Linked DNA regions of Tamandua tetradactyla. Each later gene encodes a partner of the first gene's protein in a complex. Links are inferred from orthologs where the notes say so. Each region holds a gene or a part of one and is shown in the gene's direction. Other genes may lie near its edges. The genes, in order: TFDP1, E2F1 and LIN52.

Region 1 (3,743 bases):
TTTCTTAAAAGAAGAAATGTTAATCAGCTTGCTAATAGTTTAAGACAAGTGAACAGAGATTTAAGGGATCTGTGCATTACTAAAGAAACAGAAGTGGGTGTAATCAGCATAAAAGTGGCTAAATTGTGAAACCATGCTAAGTGGTGTGTGTGGGGTGTAATGTAATAACACGTTGCACACGGTGCGCCTTTGGTCTGTGCACCTCAAAGTGCTTTGCAAACGTTAATTATGCATCACACTTACGAGGCGGCGAGGTAGGGAGGGGAGGGCTTGGACACTGCTGCCTAATCCAGAACTGAACTTCCGACTCTACTCAAGATGCACCAGTCAACCCTCTGTTGTGTTTCTTCACCCCCTTATGGCTGAATCCACCCACTGGTCTTAGTAGCTGTGAGGTCGAAGTTGTGACTACGTCTTCAGAGATAAGGGTTCAACAAGCCCCACCGGCGATGAGGTCGCTCCGGCAGTCAGAGGATGAAACTGGGCTGCCTGGTTTTCCCTTCGGAACCCACTTCCGGGATGCCTCCCCGGTGGGCATCGAGGATGCATGGAATTGTGTAGGAGCTGGGTGGAGGGTGGTCGTGGGCGTGGAGCCGTGCGGTGGCTGGGTGTCTGAAGATTCCTCGCCTCCAGGAGGCCGCGGTGCCGAACGCGCGGTGCCGGGCCAGGAGCTCACGCCGCGGGAGGAAGGAGCTTCCGCGCCGCGCGCCCACCCGCTGCCACACACGCTCGTCGCCCGGCCTCCTCTTTCCTTCTCTCCTCCGCACACACTCTCGGACACACACACACACACACACACACAAACACAGATACACCACACACACACACACACAGAAACATCCACAAGAGCCCCTCTCCCGGCGCCAGGCGGGGGCGGAGCAGAACAGGCGGGAGGAGGCAGGGAGGGAGGGAGGGAGCCAAAGGCGCGAAAACGGCGCGCAGGCGCGCCACGCTCCCCGAGGCGGAGCGCGCGGGGGTGAAACTGACACTTTGGGCCAGTCTCTATGGGGCCGCTCGTGGCCGCACGTCACCGCGCTCCCGGCACGTCACGCCGGCTCGACGCTCCCGGTACAAAGTGTAAGTTTCAATTTTTTTCCCCCGGTGCCACCGCTCCCGGGGTCGCGGCGACGAGCGGGAAGAGAGTGAGGGCGCAGGGTGGTCTGGCCAGGGCGGCCGGGACTCCCTACCCCCGCCGTCCTCGCGTGAGTGCGGGACCCGGGTGGCGGGCCCTCAGCCTCCGCGTCCTGCATCTCCGCCCCCAGCCCCGCGCGCGAGCGTGGACCGGGCGAGCCAGGTGCGGGGCGCCGGCCACCCCCACGCTGCAGGCGAAGGGCGGGTGCGCGCGGGCCGCGGGCGGCCGGGGCTGCCGGAGGGGAGGGAAGAGGATGCCCTGGGGCGGGAACCCGGAGAGGATGGAGAAGGGGGGTGTTGGGTGTTGAGACGCCTGAGTCGCGGGAGGATGGAGCTGGGGGATGGGGCGGAGGGCAGGGCGAGCAGCTGGTCCTGGAGGGAGGGGGCACCGGGTGGTCCGCGGGCGCCCGGCCCGAGAGGCGGTTGTGGGGCGGGCTTGGGTCGGGGCCGGCCGCCGGGCGCGGGGGGCGGGACCACAGCGGCGAGGGGACAGCCCGGGCCGGACTGGTCCCCGGCGGGCCGGCCCCTCGGCCCTGCCCCCGCCTCGCCTGCGTGTGGGCGCCGCGCGCAAGGCTCGGTGTCTCCTTGGGGCTCTTTCCTGGTGCTCTGTGTGCGCCGCACATGTGCAGTCGGTAAACCTTCCCCCACCCCGCACCCCCCACGCCGCCGCGCCGCGCCTCATTGTAGCCGCTGCAGTTGGTGGTGGGCTGCGGGGCTCGCCGCCGCCGTTCGCTGGGTGGGGGGGTGGGCGGCCGGGGGAGGAAGCTGCTCTCCAGGTGACTTGACCTCGGCTGTAGGATGTGGAATGGAAGAGAGGGGGTGCGGGTGGGGAGTAGGACGCGATTGGGCGGGAGAGGGCCCGGCCGAGGCGAGCGGGTGGTGGGGCTGTTGGGGGACTCGGCTCGTTGCCTGGGAGGGCACGGTGGGGGATCGGATCAGCCGCGGGGAGTCCCCGGGTTGGGGCAGGCGGGGCGGCAGGGCCGGAGCTAGGCCCTCAGGCCCCGGATAAGCATCGTCGCGCGCCCCTCGCCCGCCCGGGGACGCGGGGCCAACGGGGAGGGGGTCGGGGGGCGCCTGTTGCCGGGAGGTGCACCAGGCGCGGGTGGTGGCGGGCGGCTGGGTTGCAACTGCAGCCGGATCCGTCCCGGGCCCGAGCGCGCCGTCCGCGCTCGGGCCCGGGAGGCCGGATCCGCTCCGGCCTGCAGCGAGAGCCTTCGGGAGGGGACGGGGAGGGGCTGACCCTTCCACCGACCTGGTCCTTTCGGGAGCTCCGGGCCGAGGACTGCCGGTTCCGGTGGCGGGCGGGGGAAGGGAGGCTCCTCTCGGTGGAGGTGGCTCCTGAGGCCTAGTGACAGGTCAGGGACCCGGGCGGGCTGGGGGCGTGGAGGTTGAGGGTGGGGGGCTTCGAGCGGTTGGGACTGGCTAAGGTGCCTCTGGAAGCCCACCTGTCAGAGTTAACAGTCTAACCAGGCTTGAATCAGCCACTTGGAGACTGACCACGGTGGGAGAGAAGACCCTCTCAAGAGTTCTTTTGGGATGGATTTCCCTGCGTACTTGTCTTTGTGCAGGGACATAAAAGGGAGTTATATTCCTGTTGGGTGAATATGTGGCAGCTTAGGTTTGCGCATATGTGTGTGTGCCTCGGTTGGCGAAGGGTAGAGATATGTGAGATGAATGTACCTACTGGTATAATTAATGTTATAGGTGAATGCTTTAGAAATGTGAAGGTAATCCAGGCATGTGTGTTCAGGGGTTTTTACCCATTGCTTCTTTGGGTGATCTTGGGAAAAAGTTATGGTACAGTGGCAATGATTTTGGATAATGGAGTTTCTGCATCCTGGTTGTATATGGGATTGTCAATTTAAAGTATGTTTTCAGTTGCTGAAATGACTTTTAAAGTCGTAAGTATGAGTTTTGACTGTTCTATTTTCAGGATTGAGTAAGGGTATGCAATTAGGAAAGGAGGTTCTTGTTTCCTGGAAGCACAGTTGAAGTGGTGGTGGGGAAAATGTCTCTGTAAGATGTGATATTTTATTTACTGACTTCTTTTTTATTCTTATTCATTTCTTGTTTTTCCTTCTTTCTTTCTTTCTTTTTTTGTTTGCCAGAAAAATCATTGTTTCTTCTCTGGAGGGCGAACACTTAGAGAATTGATTTCACGGATCTGGTAACATGGCAAAAGATGTAAGTACATGTTATAAATACTTACCTAGCTTTAATAGTGAGAAGTAAGGAAGTACTAAATTCTTTGTAGTTTTCCCACTTTTTTGCAGAGTGACAGCACATAAACTACAATAGTGTTTGTTTTTAAACTTTTAAAGCAGATGAAACAAGATAAAGGTGAAAAAGAACAAAGAAATCTAGTAGCCTACGTGAAGATGTATGACTTCTCCCTTTGTGTTTTTTGTAATCATGAATGCCTGATGATAAATATTATGTGGTGCTTAAATGATATTAATTTCACTTTTTCTTAATCTTTTCAGACTGCATTAAATTTATAATTTTGAATATATTTATTAAGGCATTCCTTAATTAAATAGAGAGGGGGAATACAAAATTAAACGAGATGGAGAATACAAAATAGTTATGTCGTGGGAGCTCAGTAGTTGCTG
Region 2 (3,743 bases), on another chromosome or scaffold:
TGGGTAGCCTCTGTTTCTTTCATAACCCTCCTCTGTGCCTGTTCTGAGCCAGGCCAGCGTGCGGAGGGGGGCGCTGTTGGAGATCTTAGTCTGATAGGGGAGGCAGATGGAGAAACCAAGAAGCGTGATCAGTGCCTGAACAGAGAGGCAGCAACCGGCAATGGAGGAAGTGAGTAACTCCGACTCTGGTGGGCTCCCTGAAGAAGTGGTATTTAGACTGGACCAGGGGATTTGATTTTCGTTTGTGCCTTAGTTACTTTTTTTTCTTGTAGATCACCCACACCAAACAGCACTAGATTTGTACAAGTTATCAAATCTTTCACATTTCTGTCCCCAGTGTTGACACAAGGCCTGGCACAGTGTTGAGGACAATACTGGTCAAATGGACTGATATGAGCAAGGAGAAATGGCTGGTGGAGATGTCCCAGGGCTTCCGGATTAAATGCATTTTTTGTGCTCAGTATCCCCACCTCCTTCCTTTGGTTAGGTCCTAACATGGGGTCACATTAATGGCGGAAATTCCTCATCATGCTGTAAACATTTGCCACCTCTTCCTTCTCATCCTTTCACTAGACCGTGAGATCCTTAGGGCCAGTAGTCAAGGTCTTAAATAAGGATGGAGCACAAGGCAGGCTCTCAAAACGATTGTTGAATGAGCGAATGAATGAATGAGTTCAGGTAGAAGCTTGTGCATTGGCTATTGAAGGGATTCCAGCTAAGATGCGGCTGCAGGAAAGCGCCAGGTCCATATCGAGTTCTTCCCGGTTTCCTGGCAGCCCCCTCGGTTTGGGCTCTGACTGGGTAAGACTGACGGGATTGGGAGGAGCGTAGGACTTGAGAGTAAACAGCATAGGTGGATAGGTGGGGCAAGTTGAGGATGGGAAATATGTCTGGGGCTTTGGAGGTGGGCCTGAGAATTCAGAAAGGAGGAGGAGGAAGTTTCTGGAAATCTGGGCTGAGGTATGAGGGCTGCAGGTTGGGAGTGTGGGCTGCAGGTCTGGGGGTCATGTGCTATGGGGCTGCAGACGGAGACGTGATAGCAGCAGAATGGAAGCTCTACACCATGGTCAGCAGGACCGAGCGCGTGGGGCGGGGGTGGGGCCACCACGCCTTGAGCAGGGGCCGTCCGGGTTGGGGGCGGGGAGTGTGAACGCGCCGGGCACCGCCCCGACAAAGCCTGCGCGCGCCCCGGACCGCGATTGGCTGCACCGCCCCGCGCCGCCGCCCCGTGCAGCCCGTCGCCGCCGGCCCGGCGCGCTGCAACCAGTGGGCGCCGCCGCCGCCGTCTTCGTCATAACCCGGGAAGCCAATGGCGAGGGCGCTAGGCGGCTCGTGGCTCTTTCGCGGCAAAAAGGATTTGGCGCGTAAAAGTGGCCGGGACTTTGCAGGCAGCGGCGGCCCCGGGCGGAGTGGGATCCGGAGCGGGATCGAGCCCTCGCCGCGGCCGGCCACCATGGGCCCGCGCCGCCGCCGCCGCTTGCCACCCGGGCCGCGCGGGCCGTGAGCGCCATGGCCGTGGCCGGGGCCCCCGCGGGCGGCCCATGCGCGCCGGCGCTGGAGGCCCTCCTCGGGGCGGGCGCGCTGCGGCTGCTCGACTCCTCGCAGATCGTCATCATCTCTGCAGCGCAGGACGCCAGCGCCCCGCCGGCCCCTGCCGGCCCCTCCGCGCCCGCCGCGGGCTCAAGCGACGCCGACCTGCTGCTCTTCGCCACGCCTCAGGCGCTCCGGCCCACACCCAGCGCGCCGCGCCCTGCGCTCGGCCGCCCGCCGGTACGGACACCAGGGCCACTGGGCCAAGTGCGCAGCCTGTACCCCCGCGCCGACCCGGGCGGGGCGCAGTGTTTGGCCCGGAGGCAGCGGGGGGCGAGGGGAGGGGTGGACTGAAGCCCTCGGACTGGGCGGTGCAGAGCCTGGGTTGAGCCTCCGGGCCCCGCCCCGGGGTGCTGGGTGACCTCGGGCCAGTCCCTGTTTGCCACTCGGTGCTGTGGGCTTCACCATCCTAATCGGAGCCACTTGAGGGTAGACTTGGTGATAATAGTGGCCCACGTGTATGCAGCTGGCGCTTACTGCATGCCAGGCCTTTGGTTGAGCCTTTGGTGGACTTCAAGCCATCTAAAACCCACAACCACGCTGCGAGCTCGGTGTTGTCACTGTGCCCATCTGACGGAGGAGGAACTGAGGCTCAGAGAGGGGAAGTGACTTATCCCCATCACACAACTGGCAAGTGGTGAGGCTGGAATTTGAATTGAGGCCTGCTGGCTTCACACCAGGATTTGAGGTTGGGGAGTGAGCATGGCTAGCTGCGGAGGAGGGTGGGTGGGTCGTCCTGGGGTTGGGCTTTTGGGGAGCATTGAGAAGACTCACCTTCCTGCCTTGATGATGATCTGCCAGGTGCAGGCCTGGCCCTCCAGGCCCCTGGGGACAGGCTGCCTGATTGGGAGGCCTTCTCTGCAGGGGCGGGATGGCTGGGCCAGCTGCTGATCCCCTCCCTCTGCCTGTCCTTCCATCTGCTCCCCTCCACCCTCCCAGGCCCTGGTTGCCATGGAACCTCATTAATCAGGCAGGCAGACCCTTGGGCCCCTGTGGAAGGATGGGGTGGGTTGGGCCTCTGAGCTGGAGGCAAGATCCCTAGTGCCAGAAGAGAGAAAATGTCCCAGAGAAATGCCCTGATAGAGTCTTTCCTGAGCAACGAGAAGCGCAAGAGCATTTCAGACTGGGGGGGCCCAGACGTGGCTGGATTATAGCCGGAGAAAGGAGAGGAGCCCCGGAGCTTGGACCTGTGGGCCACAGGACAGGGTGTGGAGACCAGTTTGACTGGCACAGCCTGTGGGTGAAGGTGGGGCACAAACGGGCAGGCAGGGGCTGGCCAGGAAGGATGGGGTCTCACGGGGGCTTGGAACAAGTGGGAGGGGCGAGGCAGGGCCCAGGACGAGGTGGAAACCACCCAACCGCTGATGGAGGCGCGGGTGGCAGCTGGTCCCAGAGGCATCCCAGGAGCCTCCCCTGGCCCCCTTGGCCCCATGCCCAGTGCTGCCTTCCTTCCGGAATCACCAAGATGCTAATAATAATAACAATAGCAGCCACCGTTGTTGGGAGAGTATTTTGTATGCAGGCTCTGCGCCAAGCACTTTATCCAAATTAACTCATTTAACCCTTTTACAGAGGGGGACGCTGAGGCCTCAGATTTTAGAACTTCCTCAGTTACTTAGCTTGCTAGTGGTGGGACCAGACTGATGAATTCAGCAGCAGTCCAGATTTCCTGAGCAGTTAGCTGCCGGGATGCCTCGCCTCCTGGAGATGCTGTTGGAAGTTGAATGAAACCCAGGTTGATTTTAGGGGCCCTTCCTTCTGATGAGTGAGTGGGTTGATAGTGTACCAGGGAGGGTACATATGCTTCCTATACTCCCAGTGGCCTGGCCCCGAGGGTACCAGCTTGGGGCCTGGGCAGGTAACTTCCATCTTGCTGACTGAGAAGATCTTAACAGGCCCAGGGCTGCAGGGACAGTGGCAGAGCCTGCAGGGGGGATGGGCTAGGGGCTGGATGCCACCAGCAGCATTCATTCTGCAGCTGGTGAGTTAGTGAGGACAGCTAAGCACGGGGTCAAATGAGGAGACCCTGTCCACAGTGCCTAAGGGCCAGTGAGCATTTTTCTCCTGGAGTGTGTGAGGGGGAGGGGCTGGAATCATTCTGGAGCTGAAGTTTAGAAACATCGGCCCAGCCTTTGCTCTCCAGCACCCCCAAC
Region 3 (3,743 bases), on another chromosome or scaffold:
CAGCAATATGGAGGAAGTTCCCAGGCTGGGTGAATGAACAAGAGAGGTAATGCTGTTTCTTGCAGATTTGAGAATTTTGCCTACAGTAAATCTTGTCTTATATTCTAAGTCCTTAATATGCATGCTCACTAGGCTTTGAAAAACAGGGGAAAGGCTTCGGATAGAGCTGGCCACCATAAGACTCGGGCTTGCAGCACTTGTAGCTTCACTACTTCTCCTTAGGCTTATCTTCAGAGGATCCACTTTCCCATGGGTGAAGTTGAGGGTATGTTGGTACTCCAAGAGCTGACTTTGGGACAGGAACTCACAATTCTTGTCTTCCCTGGCTCCCTCTATCACATTGCTTTAGAGATGTTTAGACCCTTGAGTGAACATGCAACATACTGATAGCATAACTACGGGCCCTTATTTACCTCCAACGTGAAAAGTGTAACTTCCCTGAGAGAAAGTTTCAGTGAAAGCCTTGGCAAGAAAAGGCCTGTGGAATACACAAAGAGCCACAGCTGGGACGCTTAGCAAGGCTGGTTTTGGTGAAAACCTAGTGGACACTTCTAGAAGGATATCCAAAGTTCATTCAGTAAAAAGTGTTATCATCAATTGTAACGAACTTTTCACACCAATGCAACTGTTGATGGTGAGGTGGTGTATAGAAATCCTGTACTTTATGCATTATTATTCTGTAAACCCACAACTTCTCTAATAAAAAAAAATTTAATTTAAAAAACGTTCATTCAGTGACCATCGCCCCTCGCGTGTCAGCTCCCCTCTTACCTCGGATAGGTACGATGAAGGAAAGGGAGCAGGAGAAAGAGCTCTAAAGGTTCTTGGGAGAGGTGGCAGGCGCGAAGGTGGAAGGGAAAGACGGTGAGGAGAACTAGAGAAGTAAGGGCAAGAAGGTGAAGGTAAGGAAGGGGTAGAGGTGGAAGAGCAGAGTGGGCCGAAGCCAGAAAACGGGAGGATCAGGAGTAGAAGGGCGGGGAACTAGGGGTGATGGCCCAGGACTGGAGCTGGGACGAGGCGTGGGGGTGGGGGAACACGGCCGCACAGGTCAGGTGAGAACACGAGACTCGGCCAAGAAGCTGGGCCAATAAGTCTGCCCGTCCGAGGTCGGTTGAGAGAGTGGACGGAAAAGATCCAATTCCTGGACTCGCGATCTTTCGTCCCTCACTCACCTGCAGGATACGGGCCCGGAATGCCGCCGCAGCAGCCACCACCGCCATGGCTCTAGGCCTCTTCTTCGTCTCCTTGCTCCTCTGCTGCTGGTGCAGATCCTCAGAAGTGCCACCGGGGCCAAACCCCGCCCCTCCATCTGCAGGACCTCTTCATTGGCAGAGAGGGCCATTTCTCCTAGCCAATCACGCACCCTGAACTCTGACTCCACCCCTAAATACCAGGCCTGGGGATACACGATTGGTCAATAGTGGAAGAACTCGCCCCCAGCCCGCCTCAGCAACTTCAATTGGCAGGGATAAGGAAGACGCCCCTGACAGGAGTAGTCTATAGCGAGAACACGGGGAAGACGCCCCCCTAACCCGGAACTCTGATTGGTCATACGCACAGCTGCGGCCCCGCCCCATCACTGAGGAAAGTAAATAAGATCCGCCAAGAATTTTGCATGAGGGACGTGGCTAGCAAGTGGTGGGCGGGGCTAATCAAAGATTGCCCTAGGAGGCGGGGAAACGAGTCCGGGCTGCGAGTTGGGGATAGGGTTTCCCTTTGGGGGCGTGGCTCATGATCCTCGCTTTCCCGCCGACGGTTGGCCACGTCACGTGACATGGGTTGGAAGATGGCGTCTCCCACTGACGGTAAGAGCCGGCTTAGATCTTTCGCCTGCAACCCCCTTTACTAGGAAGCTTCCGTTTTCCGTCTGACCCTCAAGCTTACACTTCTTTCTTGGAACTCTCTCCTTTCCCTTTCACTCCTTTCCTTGGGATGCGTCTCCTTTTTCAGCTCGCGGGTTCTCCACAGCGGCTCCAGAGGTGCCAGTTTCCCCGCTGTACACCAAACGGTGGAGTAGGGCATCTGCGAGGGACCTATTTCGGGCAAAAGGACGGGTATCGCTTCATCCTTTACCCCTGTTTGAGAAAGGCTGAGGGCCTAGGAGGAGATGCTGCTGGAGGAAAGGAAAGGAGGTGCCTTACTGTAGTTGTCTTTCTCAGGCGCTCTTTTGAAGGGTCAGTTCTCTTCTCATTGAACATCCTGAAAGATTCTGTCAAGCCCTTGCTGGGATTAGTGGTTGATCTCATCCTGGGATTGAGCCACAAGAGAAACGTGATTGTCTCCCATCGTCTCTGTTTGGGACGGTTGCCCTGCCTGCAAAGTAAAGCGAGGGACCTCGGGCCCTAACCATGAGAGTCCTGAGGAAAATGAGAATTGAGCTTTTTAGTATAATCTTGCACGCGTCTCATCATCTCTTGCTTTTGTTTTGTTGTTTCCTCAGGCTGAGTAACTTAATAAATTTCTGCTTATATGTTGCCTAAGTTGCCTAAGCAATTGGGTGGTTTTGGTATACCCATATGCTTTTTATTTTATTTTATTTTATTTTATTTTATTTTACATGGGCAGGCACCGGGAACTGAACCCGGGTCCTCTGGCATGGGAGGTGAGCATTCTTGCCTGCTGAGCCACCGTGGCCCGCCCCCCATATGCTTTTGTACTTTGTTTTCTTTTAGAGAGTTGGGGTCTTGCATCAATTTATTTTTTAAATCCCTCTATTCCTGTTCAGTCCTTTTGTCTGAATTTTATTCAGGTAATGATTGCCTTCTTTTATTCTCCTCTTTTGTGAAATATATTATTATCCAGTCACCCAAGACAAACTTTCTCCCTCACCAGCACACCCTAACTTCTAGTCAACAAGTGCTGATTTATCTTTCCTTTATTAGAGTTCCCTTTTGCAAGTCCATTTCTTCACAAGTCTGGTATATGAGATTTTAATTACTCTGCCACACTTTCCTGTTCTTCAGTCAGTGATAACAGCTCCAGGTTTGTTTGCTTTTGTATTTCCTGTCATAGTCTTTATTCATAAGGTCTTAGTCTTATTCAAAGTAGCAAAAATGCAGCTCTTCATCTCTTTCTGCTTATCAGCAGCTGGTTTAAAGCGTGCATGTAAAGTCCGAAATCAAAACTTTATTGCTGACAATTCCTTTAAGAGAATAATTGGATTTTTCTCACCTAGTGAATCAGGATGATTGGTCTTGATTTCATATTCCAGCCTGTATTGATTGTAATCAAGATCAGAGTCAGCTTTCTGTAATTCTGAAAAGCTGGCAGTTGTTGAAACATAGATGTTCTTAACATGTGGTCATCTGCAAATCCTGGGTTATACCTAGCAATTTTTTTTTGTATCTATATACAGTTTTCTGATGAGAAGGATTTCCTTTAAGGATCCATGGTCATCAGTTCCAGCTTATTGACCTCTGCCTCCATGCTGAATAGTGGGCATTCCTCCTGCATTCATTTTTAAAAACATTTTTATTGTGAAATATACATGCAAAAAATTGATACATTTCAAAGTACATTTTAACAAGTAGTTTTGGAACAAATTTAAAAGTCTGGTATGGATTATGGTTCCACCATTTCAGATATTTCCTTCTAGCTGCCCTAAGACACTGGAGACTAAAAAGAATATCAGTATAATGGTTCAGTAGTTATACTCATTTGTTAAATCCTCTCTTCTTTGATACAATTCTTCCTTCTCCTTTGATCCTTCACCCACTCTTTGGGGGATATTTAGGCAATGGCCA

Evidence for each region.
Region 2: the proteins of TFDP1 (region 1) and E2F1 are in contact, whole or in part, in a crystal structure (PDB 2AZE), measured with the Homo sapiens proteins. The link is inferred for Tamandua tetradactyla from reciprocal best matches to the Homo sapiens genes TFDP1 and E2F1. Residues at the interface, in NP_009042.1 of Homo sapiens: Glu201, Cys202, Leu205, Glu206, Glu208, Arg209, Arg212, Leu213, Arg215, Ile216, Lys219, Gln220, Gln222, Leu223, Leu226, Ile227, Gln229, Gln230, Phe233, Lys234, Leu236, Val237, Arg239, Asn240, Arg241, Glu244, Pro251, Ser255, Val256, Ile257; in NP_005216.1 of Homo sapiens: Arg202, Leu203, Leu206, Thr207, Asp209, Leu210, Leu213, Gln214, Ser216, Glu217, Leu220, Asp221, Leu223, Met224, Ile226, Cys227, Thr228, Gln230, Leu231, Leu234, Asp239, Ser240, Gln241, Arg242, Leu243, Ala244, Tyr245, Val246, Thr247, Cys248.
Region 3: TFDP1 (region 1) and LIN52 share a complex: the UniProt entries of both Homo sapiens proteins name them as parts of the DREAM complex. The link is inferred for Tamandua tetradactyla from reciprocal best matches to the Homo sapiens genes TFDP1 and LIN52.

Annotation. Positions count from the first base shown.
Region 1 is NC_135330.1:184,327,848-184,331,590, forward strand, and holds the start of TFDP1 (transcription factor Dp-1), read left to right. Parts: upstream 1-957; 5' UTR 958-1,077; intron 1,078-1,087; exon of another isoform or gene 1,088-1,202; intron 1,203-1,271; exon of another isoform or gene 1,272-1,294; intron 1,295-1,634; exon of another isoform or gene 1,635-1,763; intron 1,764-1,885; exon of another isoform or gene 1,886-1,907; intron 1,908-2,349; exon of another isoform or gene 2,350-2,486; intron 2,487-3,239; 5' UTR 3,240-3,303; coding exon 3,304-3,315; intron 3,316-3,743. UniProt on the Homo sapiens protein: Can stimulate E2F-dependent transcription.
Region 2 is NC_135327.1:19,292,301-19,296,043, forward strand, and holds the start of E2F1 (transcription factor E2F1), read left to right. Parts: upstream 1-1,494; 5' UTR 1,495-1,509; coding exon 1,510-1,770; intron 1,771-3,743. UniProt on the Homo sapiens protein: Transcription activator that binds DNA cooperatively with DP proteins through the E2 recognition site, 5'-TTTC[CG]CGC-3' found in the promoter region of a number of genes whose products are involved in cell cycle regulation or in DNA replication.
Region 3 is NC_135338.1:33,069,829-33,073,571, forward strand, and holds the start of LIN52 (protein lin-52 homolog), read left to right. Parts: upstream 1-1,434; 5' UTR 1,435-1,774; coding exon 1,775-1,805; intron 1,806-3,743. Other genes in the region: ALDH6A1 (methylmalonate-semialdehyde/malonate-semialdehyde dehydrogenase [acylating], mitochondrial), read right to left, coding at 1,173-1,220.